2 linked regions of the Nothobranchius furzeri genome follow. Each later gene encodes a partner of the first gene's protein in a complex. Links are inferred from orthologs where the notes say so. Each region holds a gene or a part of one and is shown on either strand. Other genes may lie near its edges.

Evidence for each region. Proteins that work in one complex are often made in the same cells at the same time.
Region 2: strip2 (region 1) and programmed cell death protein 10-B share a complex: the UniProt entries of both Homo sapiens proteins name them as parts of the core of STRIPAK complex. The link is inferred for Nothobranchius furzeri from reciprocal best matches to the Homo sapiens genes STRIP2 and PDCD10.

Annotation. Positions count from the first base shown.
Region 1 is NC_091741.1:53,354,098-53,358,492, forward strand, and holds part of strip2 (striatin-interacting protein 1 homolog), read right to left. Parts: intron 1,350-4,395; coding exon 1,158-1,349; intron 1-1,157. UniProt on the Homo sapiens protein: Plays a role in the regulation of cell morphology and cytoskeletal organization. Required in the control of cell shape. Calmodulin-binding scaffolding protein which is the center of the striatin-interacting phosphatase and kinase (STRIPAK) complexes.
Region 2 is NC_091758.1:24,841,607-24,846,794, forward strand, and holds the start of programmed cell death protein 10-B, read right to left. Parts: upstream 3,027-5,188; 5' UTR 2,589-3,026; intron 1,282-2,588; 5' UTR 1,145-1,281; coding exon 1,055-1,144; intron 1-1,054. UniProt on the Homo sapiens protein: Promotes cell proliferation. Modulates apoptotic pathways. Increases mitogen-activated protein kinase activity and STK26 activity. Important for cell migration, and for normal structure and assembly of the Golgi complex.

The DNA.
Region 1 (4,395 bases):
TGAGGGGAATGGATGATGTTAGCTCCAAAAGCCCAAAACTGTGATGAGTTACAGCAGGATTTCTATGTCTGCTGTGTTAGGAGCAAAATGACCTGTTCTGTGTTAATAAAAAGGTAAATAATCAGAAATTAGCTAGTACCCGTTTTTCTTTTTTTTTAATAGAAAACCTAAATGCTTCACAAACAGCTGCAACATCTAATATGCCTAAATGTTATTGACCTTCTCTTAGTAACAAGAAATGTGGTTTTGATCAGCAGCGGTCACTCCTTTAGTGCAATAATCTCCTTCTTTGCATCACGCTGGTTATTAGCTGACTTCACGCTTTGCATCGTTAGATTTCTTCTCTTAGAAAAGCACTCAGCCCTGTTGGCTCAGATTTAAATAACACTGAAAACACGTTCATTTGCTATAAAACAAATATTTATTCTGATCTTGCAGAGGGTTTCTCTTACTGACAGATTTCCTTCTCTAACCCTAACCCTAGACTAAATGTTCACCTTCAAATTTCAATTTAAGTAGCTTTTATTATCAGCATCTGTGATCTGTGGACAATCTCTGGGATAAAGCTTTATGAGGACCTCAGGAGGACACAGCATCGTACAGCTTTGACCTACAAAGAGAACAATGCATGAAACTGTTTACCAGAGTGAAGACAACAAAGTCATTGATTTTTCATGACCTGTCACAGAAAAGCGAGTGTTACATATATTTTTTGTATTTTCTAGTCATTGTTAGAAATAATTAGAAATCCTCTGATGATTACTTGTCGAGATGTATAAGTTTGATTTTCAAACAATTCACATCGCTAATGAAGTGATTTTAGAAAGTTTTTTCATTTAGCCACAAATAAAAATGCGCTTACACCCAAATGTGGTCCTAACTGCTGGTCTGATTGGACTTTCAGTGTTTGGCTTTGTGTTCTTTTTGATCCGTCATCATCCTACTCGTGTTTTATTTGCATGATGAAACACAACAGTAAATCAACGTAGCACCAAGCTTCCCCGTCTGAACGGGCAAAGCTTTCATGTTTATCAGCGCGTCAACGGAAGATTCAGGAGAAAACTGCTCAGGCTCTCATACGTTGTTGTGTATGAGCGGAAATGTTCACAATCAAACCCAACATGTTCTAAATGTGTGTGTGTGTGTGTGTGTTGTACCCTGCGGCTGCGACGGCCTCTCTTCTGCTGCTGCTGCTGCTGCTCGATCAGCTCCATGGCTGAGGCGGGAGGCGAGGCTGCTCTCATGGCTCTGACCACCTTGATACTGTCCTCTGGGAGGGGGGTCAGGCAGAGACGCTCTCGGCCACGCACCTTCATCTCCTGCAGCTCCTCAAACCCCCCCAACGTAAACTAGAACACAAGCATGATCAGAGATTTGAGGAAGAAGAAGCAAGAAAAAGTATGTGAACCCTTTGGGATTAAATACATTTCTGCACAAACTGGTCATAAAATGTGACCTGATCTTCATTTAGGTCACAGCACTAGACAGTCACAGTCTGCTTAAACTAACGCACGAACAGTTATACGTTTCCATGTTTTTATGGAACACACCAAGTACACATTCACAGTGCATGTGGGAGAAGTATGACAACCCTAGACAAATGACATCTCCAAGAGCTAAGTGGTGTCAGGTGTCAGCCAACAGGAGTCCAATCAGTGTGATGAGATTAGAAGTCTTGATTAAAGCTGCCCTGACCAATAAAGAACACACACCTGCTTTTGTCCAGAAGCACTGCCTGATGCCACGCACAAAAGAAGCTCTCAAAAGACCAATGATTAAGAGTTGTTAACTTGCATAAAACTGGAAAGGGTTATAAATGTATCTCCAAAATGCCTTGATGTTCATCAGTCCACCGTAACAGAAATTGTTTATGAGTGGAGAAAGTTCAGCACTGTTGCTACTCTTCCCTGTAGAAGGGGCCGTCCTGACTGCAGAAGTGAGGTGAAGAGGAATCCTAGTGTCAGCTAAAGACTTAGAAAATATCTCTGGCATATGCGAACATCCCTGTTGGCGAATATACTGTAAGTGAGACTCTAAACAAGAACAGAGTTCATGGGAGGACACCACAGAGGAAGCCACTGCTGCACATTTAAAGTTTGCAAAAGAGCACCTGGATCTTCCACAGCAGTACTGGCAAAACATTTTGTGGACAGATGAAACCAAACTTGAGTTGTTTGGGGTGTGTGGAGAAAAAGAGGCACACCACACAAACACCAAAACATTATCACAACTGAAGTATGGTGGTGGGGGCATCATGGTTCGGGGTTGCTTTGCTGCACCAGGACATTTTGCAGGAGAACTTAAGGCTTTTTGTCCACCAGCTGAAGCTCAACAGAAGATGGGACGATGCAACAGGACAATGATCCAAAGACCTCAAGAAATCGATTCATACCAGACATCGCAAGAACTGAAGAAGAAGAAGAAGAAGAAGAAAATATCATTTCTATAGCGCCTCTCAAGATAAAAAATCACGAGGCACTTCACAAAAACAAAACAAAGAAAGTAAAAATATAAAAAAAGCATTTAGAAAATGTTTAAAAATATATTTAAAATGAGCAAAAATAGGCAATTCGTCGTCGTCGTCGTCGTCGTCTTCCTCCGCTTATCCGGGTCCGGGTCGCGGGGGCAGCATCCCAATTAGGGAGCTCCAGGCCGTCCTCTCCCCGGCCTTGTCCACCAGCTCCTCCGGCAGGACCCCAAGGCGTTCCCGGACCAGATTGGAGATGTAACCTCTCCAACGTGTCCTGGGTCGACCCGGGGGCCTTCTGCCGGCAGGACATGCCCGAAACACCTCCCCGGGGAGGCGTCCAGGAGGCATCCTGACCAGATGCCCAAACCACCTCAACTGGCTCCTTTCGATCCGGAGGAGCAGCGGTTCTACTCCGAGTCCCTCCCGAATGTCCGAGCTCCTCACCCTATCTCTAAGGCTGAGCCCGGCCACCCTACGGAGGAAACTCATTTCGGCCGCTTGTATCCGCGATCTCGTTCTTTCGGTCATTACCCAAAGCTCATGCCCATAGGTGAGGATTGGGACGTAGATCGACCGGTAAATCGAGAGCCTGGCTTTCTGGCTCAGCTCCCTCTTCCCCACGACAGATCGGCTCAGCGTCCGCATCACTGCAGACGCCGAACCAATCCACCTGTCGATCTCCCGATCCCTCCTACCCTCACTCGTGAACAAGACCCCGAGATACTTAAACTCCTCCACTTGAGGTAGGACCTCTCCCCCGACCCGGAGGTGGCAAGCCACCCTTTTCCGGTCGAGAACCATGGTCTCAGATTTGGAGGTGCTGATCCTCATCCCAGCCGCTTCACATTCGGCCGCGAACCTACCCAGCAAGAGCTGAAGGTCAGAGCTGGATGAAGCTAGGAGAACCACATCATCCGCAAAAAGCAGAGACGAGATTCTCCTGCCACCAAACTCGACACACTCCACACCACGGCTGCGTCTAGAAATTCTGTCCATAAAAGTGATGAACAGAACCGGTGACAAAGGGCAGCCCTGGCGGAGTCCAACCCTCACTGGGAACAGGTCCGACTTACTACCGGCTATGCGGACCAAACTCACGCTCCTCTGGTAAAGGGACTGAATGGCCCTTAACAGAAAGCCACCCACCCCATACTCCTGGAGCGTCCCCCACAGGGTGCCCCTGGGGACACGGTCATAAGCCTTCTCCAAATCCACAAAGCACATGTGGATTGGTTGGGCAAACTCCCATGCCCCCTCCATCACCCTTGCAAGGGTATAGAGCTGGTCCACAGTTCCACGGCCAGGACGAAAACCACATTGCTCCTCCTCTATCTGAGATTCAACTATCGATCGGACCCTCCTCTCCAGTACCTTGGAGTAGACCTTTCCAGGGAGGCTGAGGAGTGTGATCCCCCTATAGTTGGAACACACCCTCAGGTCACCCTTCTTAAAGATGGGGACCACCACCCCGGTCTGCCACTCCCTAGGAACTGCCCCCGATGACCACGCAATGTTGTAGAGACGTGTCAACCATGACAGCCCTACAACATCCATAGCCTTGAGATACCCAGGACGAACCTCATCCGCCCCCGGGGCTCCGCCGCTGTGTAGTTGTTTGACTACCTCAGCAACTTCTGCCCCCGAGATCGGACAGTCCATCCCCAGGCCTCCCAGCTCTGGTTCCTCCTCGGAATGCGCATTGGTGGGATTGAGGAGCTCCTCAAAGTATTCCTTCCACCGTCCGACTATAGCCTCAGTTGACGTCAGCAGCTCCCCATCCCCACTGTAAACAGTGTGAGCGAGTTGCTGCCTTCCTCTCCTGAGGCGCCGGACAGTTTGCCAGAACCTCTTTGGAGCCGATCGATAGTCTTTCTCCATGGCCTCACCAAACTCCTCCCACGCCCGAGATTTTGCCTCGGCAACTG
Region 2 (5,188 bases), on another chromosome or scaffold:
TCTACATAAATACTAACAAGTAACAACAACATTTTGCATTTGAAGTTGCGATGCTTTGCAGCCAGGAGCACATCCCTTGTAGGAGCATAGGTATTAGCATCAACTGTGAAAATTGATTTGTAGGAAAGAAGTGTGTCCCATTTATTGGTCTTTTGTGTTTACAGTTTTTGACGTCTGGTCCATGCAGAGCTTCCATAGTTCAGCTACGTTCATAGCTGCTAGCCAAAACTCTGTGGAGTTTAAGTCTCTTACAGTTTTTTGAGCTTTACTAAAATATCTGTCTGTACTTATTTGATTAATGGCAGTTTTTACTTTTTTATTAGTGTCCAAATGTAAATATTTGGCACGTTCCTAAGCCATAATTTGTAAGAATGTAATCTGCAATATTAGCATTAGCATCCCTATGGGCTTTTCTATGTATATTAGCATTGCGCTAACCACTTGCTGCCAGTCAAATCGCAGCCTTTGCGATTAGAAAATCTCCTTTTGTCACATCGCAATTTAATTGCATATGCAATTAATTATTCAGCCGTAGTGCTGACACACGATTGGTCCGGCCTATTTTAGGCCGGAGGTCGGACGGTTTGAACTGGAACGGTACAAGATGGATTCTCCTGAGTTTGGAAAACTCCAAATCTCGCGAGGATTCATCTTGCAGTGCAAGGTTACATTTCAGTAGGAATTAGACGACGGGTACACTCATATTGACTTGATGTGATAAAGAACAAATGACATTTCCTGCCAAAAGTGGTGTAATATTTATGCAATATTCACATTTTTGGAGACATTGAAATATAGGTTTCTATTATCTGTATGAGACAATAATCAAAATTACAAGAACTATAGGCTTGAAATGGTTCATTTTATGTGAAATGACTATTTAGGTGCTTCGCTTTCTGAAATGAGTGACAAAATATATTACACTGCTTCATAATAATCTAATTGTTTCAGGTGTGCCCACATTGTTCTGATACATTAACCTTAAATTCTGTCACTCATCATATTCGTTTTTTTTTATTAAATAAAGCAACATATTTGACATTGGAAGGCTTACCTCCTTAAAAACGGGATACATCACAGCGTAAAGCGTCATGGATACCATGGAGTTTGTCTCCGCTTCATTCTTCATCTCCTCCATTGTCATCCTCCAGTGGAGGAGTAGCTCTTGTCAAAATGATGAAGAGGAAACTGCTCCTCAGCCACACTCACTCTCTCTCTCACACACACACACACACGCACACACACACACTCAGAAACCAAGCAAGTTCCAGAGATAAGAGCCTGAAAAATAAAATAGAAAAAGGACATTTTTGGGAAATGAATGAAGTTATATCTGCTCATATTTTCTTTTTACGTTGATGGAATGCAGAACATGCATCAGTTACAATGTGACTGAATTAAATCACAGTAGTTAATCTGTCACAGTTCGGTTTAAACATGGGTTTGGATGATCACACATCCCTGATAATTGTAGTTAGACGTTTAAATTTGAATAAGAACTGGATATGTCACATGATTTTGCAACAATCTTGAAAATCGACTGCCCTGACTATTTATCTTATTCAAACACAAAAATAAGCACTACTTCCTCACCCAGATAAATTTCATTATAATAGAACACAAAACATTTGCAAAAGAAGCTGCAGATAAACCAGGCTTTAAAAAAATACAATCTAAATATGCTCTTTCTAATGATGTGATTGTTCAATAACAAGATTATGAATGAAAATCAATAATAATCTTAAATCAATTATTTTTATGATTAGCAATCAACATGTACGATTAGAACATCCATAAAATTAAATCATGTCAGTTTATCACAAACATGTCATTACACACCCTCACATACATCTTTACACTCACCAGTACTGACCGCCTAATCTATCCTGTTCTGGTTAATAATGAGGAAGTGATCCTTTGTATTCTGGTTTAATCTGAAGGAGGGGAGTGGTACAATCATACGTTTTATGTATGGCAGCACGGATTAAATGTCTACACAACAACTTCACTCTGAACAACAGGGACTATTTGGACACACTATAGCATCGTAGGCAAATGAGTTAAAACTGACAAATACTTGACAGAATAGATTAGGAGAGCTGAATGTAAATCATACGAATTTGATGTATTTTCAGCATGTTGTGTATTTGTGATTGTCCAGGTTTGTTATGGAGAAAATGACACATATTATTTTTTTTAATGGAGTGTCTGAAGTGACTGCTGGTTTACTGGAAAGCTAAACAAATCAAATGATAGCCTAAGGTAATGCTACAAGCTAGTAGAAGTATGGAACGGAAAACTAAACGGTGTTGGGTAAAACAGAGTAACCCGATTTATTTGTGATATCGGGGTACTACAATCAATTAACAAGTGTCTGTGTAACATTACATACTTTACGCGGTTTTATAATATTCACTCGAGGCCTCTAGCCGACTAGATCGATGGTAGCAGTGAACAGCGTTAGCTTCCGTGCTAGCTCAAGTAATGTGTAGGGTTGTCTTTACAAACGCGCTAAAACACGTCAACAAACTGCTTCATGACGGATACGTGCATTTATGTGTGCGTCCTAAAGGCGTACTCGTATCTACCTTTGGGCTGACTTCTTAAATAAGATGATTTTCCCGTCGATTGGCTTTTAGCTGCTGTGTTTTCTTTACAACTTAAGGCGGAAGTTTTTTAGGACTGGCCCGAGCGACATCTTCCGGACCGTTGCTACGTAAACACACGTTGTCCAATCAGAGAGCGGGGAGGCTAAAGTAACCGTGACGTAAGCCGGTAGCCTATTTAAGTAAGTATGATGAAAACGTAGCTTTACGTAGGCACATTACAGTTGTTCTGTGTTTAATTAAGATTTGTTTATGAGAAAATAAAAGCTTTTAGTTGTATTAAGAAAAACATGGCTCTCCAATTTTCTACATAGCAGCAAATATAAAGGTCAAAAGAGACAACAGAGGTCACATATATACATGAAAATGTTTTTAATCAGTGTTTTTTCTTATTACAGTAACACATTCTAATGACAATACCTTTTAAAAGGACTGCCAGAAGAAATACAGTACTGATTAGATCATTTGAAGGAAGGGATAGCTACATTGCCCTTTGATGCATAATGGTCACTACAGTGGACAGGTACTCAAAATAGTTTTTTTTTTGCTTGTTTATTTATTTGTTTGTTTGTTTGTTTGTTTGTTTTTGCATTAAGCACAGCTGTTGAAGACTTTATTGTATTTGAGCCCCTCCATTTGGACTTCAGTAAGTCAAGCCAACATATTTCATGTTCAGAATGCACGCTGTCCACTGAGGTGGACGTGTAATAATCCATTTGTAAATTATTAAATGTTTCAAAAAATATTTGTTGAAATTTGTTTCATTCACACCTAAAGATGAATGAAATTCATGGAAAAAAATTCATGGTTGAAGATTGCATAATTCATGCATCAAAGGGTTAATAATATGAGATTTTGCTGAAATATTTGCAATATAGTAAAAGGCTGAATCCGCTGGATTACATTAATGTTAAAAAAAACATTAATTTTTGAGTTTTGTGCAAAAATGTAAATATCTCATCTCCTATGCATGTCATGATCCGCCCCGGCCTCCCTGACTGTGTCTCTCCTGCCTTGATTAACCTTATTGTTCTCACCTGTCCCTCATTACTCTGCCCATGTGTTCCTGATTTCCCTGTGTATTTATACCTCCCTCCTTGTTGCTGTCTTCATCGGATCATTGTTGTTTGTTCATGTTTGTTTTGTCCGTCTCTCCCATTCTACAATTAAACCATTTTTATTTCATCCGTGCCTGCTCTTCTGCCTCCTGGAACCCTCCACCACACTTGGTCCACCATCTCCACCCTCACATCATGACGATGCATTTATTTTCAAGAACGAATTTGTTTCTATTCTGAATGAAAAATAGCCAACTTTATGCATGCACCAATGACATTTTTTTAAAACCGAAACACCCAATGTTAAAGTTTCAATGAATGCAAATAATGCTTCTTCTGTTCAGTCTTGTTTGGTTTCAGTTATAGACTGAATGGAAGTTTAAAAAAATACATTAGCAAGATGCATATCAGTTTTTCATGTTTTGTTAAAAGCTGTTGTAAATTCCAGCAGGCCATTCCCATTATGTCACGTTTATCCCTAGCCTGGCCTGCCAGACTTGTTCACTGTGTAATTCTACACAGAGAACTATAAGGAAGCATAGGGAAGCGTGGGGCTGGCTGGCCAGGCCAATATCTTCTTATGTAATTTTGTGTTGGTTAAAAAAATATCTTGAATCTCTTACTTATCTTGTTTTAAAGGAATGTAAAAGGCTGTGGACAGTGACACACTGAAATGTGAGGTCAGGCTCCAGGTTTCTGAAGCCTGCAGGTACATATGACCTCAGAGCACATTTTTCTCTGGAGACAGAATACTTGTCTTTAATTCATTAGAAACAAAATGATGCTATCCTAACCAGCAGGATAGGCATCAATCTTCCTATGCTTGAAGTTTACATTAAATAAACACAAAAATTGTAAAAGTAAATTATTAATGTCCAATCCATAGACAGGGACATAAGGACGAAACTGAAGCCCAAATGCCCCCTCACTCTTTACAAACCTTTCTGCTGCATGCTTGTATGTTTATTTATTTATTTTTTCTTTAAACTTATTTTGCAAAATAGAAACGTCATGTTTTAAAAACACAATGATTGTGTATGGGCAGTTTTAGCCCCACATCCAACCTTGAAACAGGACCGTTTGACTCCACTTTATAGCAACAGATGAAAGTAGATGCCTTATTTATTTATGTCTGAGTAAAACCCCAGTAAGGTTTTATCTTGAGGGCGATATGATTGGCTGAACACAACACCCAGAAAGATGTAAAATGTAAAACGTCTTTAATGCTTGTCAGAAATAGGGGGGGGGGGGGGGACTCAGAACACAGTTTTACTAGAACACTCCTCTAAAGCATATAAACAAACATCGTATTTTTTTAGAATAAACAAAAGAAACAAGACTCAAAGAAATTGAAGAAATGCAGCAAAATAAGTAGTTTTGGTCTCAAAACGTTCAAAAACAGTGTTCTCCTTTAAAAAGCGACAACTTTGGAAGTCGGGTTGAAAGGACAAAGACAGCAGACGCTGGAATTTTCCACTCTAGGATGAGAATCACTGTTGTTATGCATACTGCTGTTATGCATGC